2 linked regions of the Cricetulus griseus genome follow. The protein of the gene in region 2 interacts with the protein of the main gene of each other region in a pairwise test. Links are inferred from orthologs where the notes say so. Each region holds a gene or a part of one and is shown on either strand. Other genes may lie near its edges.

Region 1 (4,034 bases), on a different chromosome or scaffold from region 2:
AAACAATTTGATTTCCCATTCAGCAACTTACAGTTATCACACTGCAGAGTCATCAGGACTATGAGCTCCTTTGGAGCACTTCTGATAACCTTGCATTTGCTAAAGTACACACACAACACAGGGCTTTGTACATCAAAGGCATATAGTAAGTAGCTTATTGAAGAGATTCACCCAAGTGTGTGTGTGTGTGTGTGTGTGTGTGTGCGCGCGCGCGTGTGTGCATGCACTCACCGGATCACAGGTCAGAGGTCAACATCGGTTATCTTTGTCTGCTTCTACCTTACTTTTTGAGACAGGGTCTCTCACTAAACCTGAAGCTCCCAGTTCTGACTATAGCAACTAGCTAGAAAGCCTCTAGGATCTGCCTCCCAGTACTGACATTACAGACATGTACTGACATTGTAGACATGCACTGACATTGCAGACATGCACTGACATTGCAGTGACATTACAAACATGCACTGACATATGGGGCTTTTTATGTAGGTACTGAGGATCCTAACTCAAGTCCTCATGCTTGTGAAGCAAGGAATTTACCCACTGAGCCACTTCCTTAATCACAATAACTTCTAATTAATAATTAATATTAAAATGGTGCTTGAGTTAGCTGTTTGAAAGGCAAAGTCTTTCCTTTAACCTGTAAGATCATTAAGCTCAAGACATTTTAAAGTGTTTCTCCAAAGCTCTGCCCTAAGACCAACGAATTGGAAAACTAGACCTTTGAGTTAGTTTATGCTCCCAAATGAGACTAGAGCTAAAGCAAATTCTAACTCAAAAATGGAAAATATTCTTCAAGAAGTTTTTTTGAGTGAAATAAACAGAACATAATCATTTACAAAGAAAGTGAGACAAATGAGGTTTTTGATTATCTACACTATTCAAGTTGATAATGTACAGAAAGAAAACAGGTGGAGCTAGGACTGTATTCTGGAACAGCACCTTACCAAGGGTGCTCAAAGGGTTGGGTTCAGTGTGTGTGTGTGTGTGTGTGTGTGTGTGTGTTGGGGGGGGGAGGGCAACCAAAAGTTTTTCAGATGAACTAAAGGGTATCTGAAATCAGGATGACATAATCAAAAGAGAACTGAACCATTAGGATACATCTTTCTTGTCTTTTAACTCAATTAGGGAGATCACTGGTCTGTTCTCCCACAAAACATTCATGGACATCGTAAGTGGACTAACAGGCTAATGTGCTCAATAGCTGGGTGAACAGCATTTCTCTAGTTGCAGTTTAAGTAAGCAGTTGAGTAAAATGGATCCAGGGATAGATCTGTTGATCACCTCCCAAAATTACATTTTGCACTGTATTGTAACTGTAGGTAGCAGCCTATTGAATGGCTCTAACCCTGGAGTGATGTACTAGGTGCCTTTGAACACGTGAGTGTGTTTGTGTAAGAGGTCAGAGCCGAGAAAAGGAACCGGTTGGAGTTGCAAGACTGTAGGAATCATAGCAAGTCATTTAGAATCCAACTACCATCTCAGTAAGTTTCAACAAGTCTCAAGGATGATCAATCGCTCTTTGCCTGCATACTTCTTTATTTCCAACAACAACAAATGAATCATTCATTGGTAAACTCTACTTGGCGTGCAACAGCTAAAACCTGTCGTGAAACCCTCCAAAGTTATCCCCCTGCAACTTTCATTCTTGTTCATTTCATCGATGCTCCTGTTCTTTTCTTTTAAGGACAATATCGTGGAAGGTGAACGTCTTCTTGTTGGTTTGTTGCTGTTGTTGTTTCTTTTTAACGTAAGAAGAAAAGAAATGGTATGACTTCTTGGCGTATCAAGACGTTCCCTTCTTGAATGGGGGAATGGGGAAATTTAATCTTGTTTTTTTTTTTTAATTACCCCTTTTGGTTCCTCCTTCTAAAATGTTTTGTTCTCCCTAAGGAAAAAAATGAACACCGGGCAATAGCAACATAGTTTCTCTAGTGTCCGAGCCGCGACCTCAGGAGCAGAACAGAGCAAAGCGGTTTAAATAACCACACACAATATAGCAAGAGTAGCAGCTTGAATTATATATATATATATATATATATATATATATATTATATATATCCATTGCCGAGAAACAAGCGGCTCTGGCAGGTGCCTGGGTGTAGGGACGTGACAGAAGACACACAGCCCTAGCCTGGCAGCTCTGTGCTGTGGCAGCGGAAGAGCTCACACCTCTTCTACCCACAGCCCGGGAGAGTGGAGTGGTCGCTCGGTCCCAGGCCTGCCCTGAACCTCAGCAGGCAGCGAGCTCGGTCTGGAGAGGCAACCGCGCAGAGAGGGAGGCAGGGGAAACGCTCGGCCAAGCCCAAGCCGCGCCCATGGGCCGGCTGCCTAGAGCCCGACCTCCCCGCCGGCCCGACGCCGCCCCGGGAGTCCGCACCGGTGGGAGCTCGCGAGTGTGAGACGCCTCCGGCTCGGCCCGGGCCGCGTGTGTCCCACCTACGGCCACCGCAGGGGGTGGTGCTCGGGAAGCTCACCGCGCCGGGCTCACAGAGTTGGCGGAGCCCGGGCTGCTGGGCGCCGAGCGGGTGGGTCACTCACCGAGAGGACACTCATGCGGATTGGGGTCTCCAACAGGCACGCCATCTTGAGCCTTCCCACCCGGCTGCTGCCGGCGCCGGCGCGCGGCCGGCACTTTCGACAGCCACCTATGGGGCCAGCAGCCGGATCCTCTGTGGAAAGCCAGACGAGCTACGCGGAACCGACCGGGCTCCGGGCGTCGCTTGAGCACCGAAGGACCGGGCGGAAGGGAGAAGAATGGGTAACCGCGCCGAACCCGGCTTACGAATCGTCCTCTCAGAAACAGCAGCTACTCTCGCTGGGGTCAGAGGAGGGCGCGGCCAGAGGCCTCCGCATGCGCAAAGGCCCGCCTGCCCCACCTTCCGCCTGCTGGGGGCGGAGCCTCACTCGGGCTCTGGGTACTGGTAAATTTCGGTTTGCGGGTTCTGTTTCCTAATCGCTAGTAGGTGGAGTTACCGACGTAGTTTGAAGTTCACTTTCACATTCGTTATCTCACTCTGCACCAAACTCCGAGCCTCAGTACTGTCCCCATCTTGGGGCTGGAGAAACTGGTCTCGAAACCGGGTCTCGTGCCGCTAGTGAGAACGGTGGTTTCACGCTTCAACGCTCAAGCGTGACCTGCGTTAACGTCGTGTGCCCGACCCACGCGTGGATTCTGGTTTAGTGTTCGGAATGAGCGAGCACTCCAGTGCCAAGACGCCTGGGTTTAATCCTTGCTACTTTAGTTAGCGCCTTTATCTTGGACAGGTTCCTTAGCCTCCTTTTATTTCAGTTCTCCCGACTGTAAAATAAGGGCTGATGAGAATAAATGAGGCAATAAACCAAACAACAAGCCCGGCATGTGGAAAGCCTTGTGCTCTCTATGTGTTAGCATTTTTCCAGCCTCTGAGTCATATGGGGGAGGGGTGGCGGGGAGGGGGACAATTGGTCAACTATCTGAGTATCGCGTACTAAAACACGCTGATAGGTGAAGCCATCTCTAATTAGGTTGTTACTGTTCCTCGGGATAAAGCAAGAGGCTTCCCAGTGCTCTTAGAGCAAAAGCCTATCTTTCTCCTCATTTCCACCTGTACTTTCTAAATTCATTGTATCATTTATCACCCCTGCTTATAGGTCTGTTACAAAATGTTGCACTTCTGGAAGACTGGAAGTTTAATAGAACCTGCTGTAACAGTATATTCTCTCCTAAATTCTGTAGCTTGCATCCTAACTACACAATGTTTGCCAGTGTTCGGCCGGGTGTTATTATTCATCCAATAACGTTGTTTAAAGCCAGTTTCCACATCTTTGAATTTTTTAGCTTTTCCCTAAATCGTAGTCTGTGAAATCAAGTTTTTTGTGTTCCTTTTTATTCTAGGATACATTACCATTCATAAATACAAATATTAAATGTCTATCTACCTAGCTCCTAAAATCATGTCCTAGTATGCCTGCTACAACCAGGCAGATTGTAACTGCACATAGTCTCTATAGCTATGTGAGCTACACTTCACTCTTTAACTCAGGCAATACATTTT
Region 2 (3,602 bases):
CTTATTCCTCAGAGAATCACATTTTGGAGGATGTGAACAAGTGTGTCATTGCTCTCCAAGAGAAAGATGTGGATGGGCTGGACCGCACTGCTGGCGCCATTCGGGGCCGGGCAGCTCGAGTCATCCATGTAGTCACCTCAGAGATGGACAACTATGAACCAGGAGTTTATACAGAAAAGGTTCTGGAAGCCACCAAGCTCCTCTCCAACACAGGTCTGAGAACTGTCTTCTGTCCTAGTGTTCTCCCTGGTCCTCACTATGGCTTGGCTCTGACATCATTCCACATCTTGTGGATTGTACAGAACTCAGCTCTGGTTTTACACACACTGGGTGGCTCATCTTACTAGTAAGAAGTTGGTTATTAGGCAGCTCATGAACACATAAGTCTTTAAGGTGGGTCCTTCCTCCTGAAGTGTTGGGGATTGAACCCAGAACCTCTTACATGCTGGCCAAGCACTCAGCTACTATCCCAACCTGTTGTAAGTCCCATTGTTAAGGTCTCAAGGTAGTGTCATTTCAAGTTCTCAGTCACTCAATCCTAGATCACAGAGTCTGGTGAGAAGATGGTTGAGTCCTTGCAAAATATTGTCTGTTAGTCACCTATAAACGCCAAGGTTTATTTTGCTGGTGAGTACTGGGCACAAGAGTAGAAACACAAAGATCTTTGTCATGAGCTTCACTCTTCTGCCTGTTCAAGGACTCAGGAAAATGTTGGTAGAGTGCTGTCTGCTTAGGGTGACCTGCCTGCCTCTTGTCTCCATAGTCATGCCACGGTTCACTGAGCAAGTGGAAGCAGCTGTGGAAGCCCTCAGCTCAGACCCAGCCCAGCCTATGGATGAGAATGAGTTTATTGATGCCTCCCGACTGGTTTACGATGGCATCCGGGACATCAGGAAAGCAGTGCTGATGATAAGGGTGAATAACTACATTCTAGACATTTCAACAGCTTCTTTCTTATCATTTGATAACTTGACCAGTGTGTCATTTTGAAACTCAGCAGATCCAGTGGCCCTGTAGTGAAACCACAGATCCAAGAGCTGGTAAAATGAGAAAGAACCCAAAAATGGATCGAAAAAAGAAAATAAGATGGGCTTGATGAATTAAGAATTAATTTAGGAAATTTAGTTCAATAAACATAGATTAGCTTGGGTTACAGGGGAAACTACAGGAAATAGTCTCTTTAATTTCAGAGAAGCAGCTTTTTCTTAAAATAGGTAAAGTTCCTGTACTCCTCTCCAGAAGAAACTTTCCTCTCCTTGAAGGGAAGCCCAGGCAGGAGGTTAGACTCTGTTCAGGATAAGGAGTGGATGCTCCATGGCTCATGGCCAAGTGCTGAGCCAAGTGGAAGTACTGCCTCTGAGTCTTTGTCACCCATCTCAGAAAAGGCAGCAGAAGGTCCTATGGAGTTGGGTGGGATGGGTCTCTGAAACTGCAGTTTCTTCCATCAAACATGTCTTGGGCCTGTGTCTCCCAAACTGCCTTTTCCGTCGCTGTGGATCTCTTGCATGTTGCTCTGTCTGTGTTCCACCCCCAGTTTGTTGCAGGCTTGCAGAAGGGGCATTTGGAATACATTGCCCACCTGCTGCATTGCTGGAGCTTTGACTGCTGTCGTGTAGTTCAGTCCACTGACTTTCATTAATACCCGCATGGTTTGGCTAGACAGGGGCCCTATCTACTTTCTTACCCCTCTTCCTAGACTGCAGAAGTTAACCGCAGTGCCAGTTGGAACCATGTTCAAGACTTGCTGCATCCATTTTGTATGCAGCATTGAAACACTTAGGAAGACCACCATTCTGTGCATGAAGCAGGACAGCTGCCCATCAGCCCCAAGCACACTGGGAAGAGGAATGGTTGTGGGTGGAGCTACAAGATAGCAGAGGCTTCAGTCTTTGAGTGGGCCGGAGATGCTTTAGTGGATGAAGGTGTCTGCCACCAAACCATGAGGCCCGTTTGACCCTCAGGACCATCTCCCACAGGTTGTTCTCTGAGTTCCACATGTACAAAATAGATTAAAATGCCACTAAAAAGGTATTTTTTAAAGTTAAGGCAGAAGAATCTATCTCCTATAGAGGCTGGTCTGAGTTAACCATGGCAGCCAGTGGCTATAATATGGTATTAGTGGGTCCCAAGGCTACATATACTCCAGGGAGGCACACAGTTCTGCTTGTGTGTCCTGAAGCCATGTTAAAGCCAATGGGATCAAAGCTATGTAGTGTTCCCTAGGAGGTGACTCAAACCTAGAATACCACTTTGAAGAAGCAGTCTGGGTACTGGGAAAGCTCATCCTGAGAGCAGGCAGGTACCTTAGATGCCTCCTCCAAAATAATTCCTCTGTCTGTTACATCATTTTCTTCTCTTTACTGGGGAGCTGGAGTGATGGTGGTTCAGTGGTTAAAAGCACTGGTACTCTTTTGAGAGTTTGGACACCCATGTGGTGCCTCAGAACCATCTGAAACTCAGTCCCAGGGGATCCCATGCCCTCTTCTGGCCTACAGGTATGCCATACATGAATGAGGCATAACTCTCATACACATACAATAATTGTTTTAAAAAGTAATGGCTTTATTGAATGAAAAATGGCAGTGTTTTCAGCACAGTTCACTGCCTCTGGCTTCTTTCTTTCTTTCTCTATATGATCATGTCCCCCTTTGGGGGCGGCAGGGCCACAACATACCTCTCAGCCCCTCTGTATATCAGTCTCCTTGTCAGGGAAGCCCTGGTCTCTTCTCTTTGCCTGCATTTCTTTGTAAAAATGCGCTTTCTTTAGAGGCTGATTTTGCTCGTTTTCATACTTAAGTAGCCAACCCAGCCTCTGAAGCCAGATTACTCAGTGGTTAACTCCCCTGATCAAACAGCAAGTTTGGTTGGTTTTATCTTCCCTTTCGGGAATATGAATGTGGTCCCTTAGCGCAGTGCATCTCAGTCAATTCGTGTTGTCTGCTGTTCCATACTCTCCTAAGGTTCCACACCACTTGTCCTCTGCTGATCTTCCCTTGGCTCAGAGTCACCTGAGCTGGGATCCAGCCAGTGAGCCAAATCACTCTTCTGTTACTTGCTACTTCCTCAGTCTACCAACACCAGTCCTCCCACAAGACCTGTCTTTCCCTGTTTCCCATCAGCAGGATGGCTCTCTGTTCATGGCTCTGGAGTAAGTCATATAGTTGACTCCTGGTGCTTCCTGTTAGAATAGGTGAGTGAGTGAACACCAGCAGTCTGCAGCTAGAGCTCAGAGGTTCTGAACAGGACTCTAGAGCCCCATGCTGACAGGATCTTTATGGCTCTGTGGTACCTTGTGATTCCTGCCCCCTACTGTTCTCACTTCTCTAGGGGTAGGCCCAACCTTTCCCTGTCAGAATACAAGCTCATGTCACTGAGTGCTTCCTACATGTTCTGTCATTTGATCCTCACAGCAAGGCCCTGGGCATGGCTTGGCTCAGGGCCCAGTGGAGAGGAGGTCTCACTGCCCTCCTGTCACAGACTGGTCGTCTGGGCCAAAAGCCAACCCCAGCTGTCTTGCCTGTCGTCCTTCCTGATAACTGTGTCAATCAGTAGCTAATCAGGAGAGGCTGGGGTTGTACAAAACACAGATTTTGCCCAATAGT

Evidence for each region.
Region 1: the proteins of Ctnna1 (region 2) and Armc8 interact in a two-hybrid assay, tested with the Homo sapiens proteins (2 studies listed by BioGRID and IntAct). The link is inferred for Cricetulus griseus from reciprocal best matches to the Homo sapiens genes CTNNA1 and ARMC8.

The regions. Positions count from the first base shown.
Region 1 is NC_048597.1:207,972,452-207,976,485, forward strand, and holds the start of Armc8 (armadillo repeat-containing protein 8), read right to left. Parts: upstream 2,833-4,034; 5' UTR 2,584-2,832; coding exon 2,539-2,583; intron 1-2,538. UniProt on the Homo sapiens protein: Component of the CTLH E3 ubiquitin-protein ligase complex that selectively accepts ubiquitin from UBE2H and mediates ubiquitination and subsequent proteasomal degradation of the transcription factor HBP1.
Region 2 is NC_048595.1:202,266,555-202,270,156, reverse strand, and holds part of Ctnna1 (catenin alpha-1), read left to right. Parts: intron 1-12; coding exon 13-213; intron 214-763; coding exon 764-915; intron 916-3,602. UniProt on the Homo sapiens protein: Associates with the cytoplasmic domain of a variety of cadherins. The association of catenins to cadherins produces a complex which is linked to the actin filament network, and which seems to be of primary importance for cadherins cell-adhesion properties.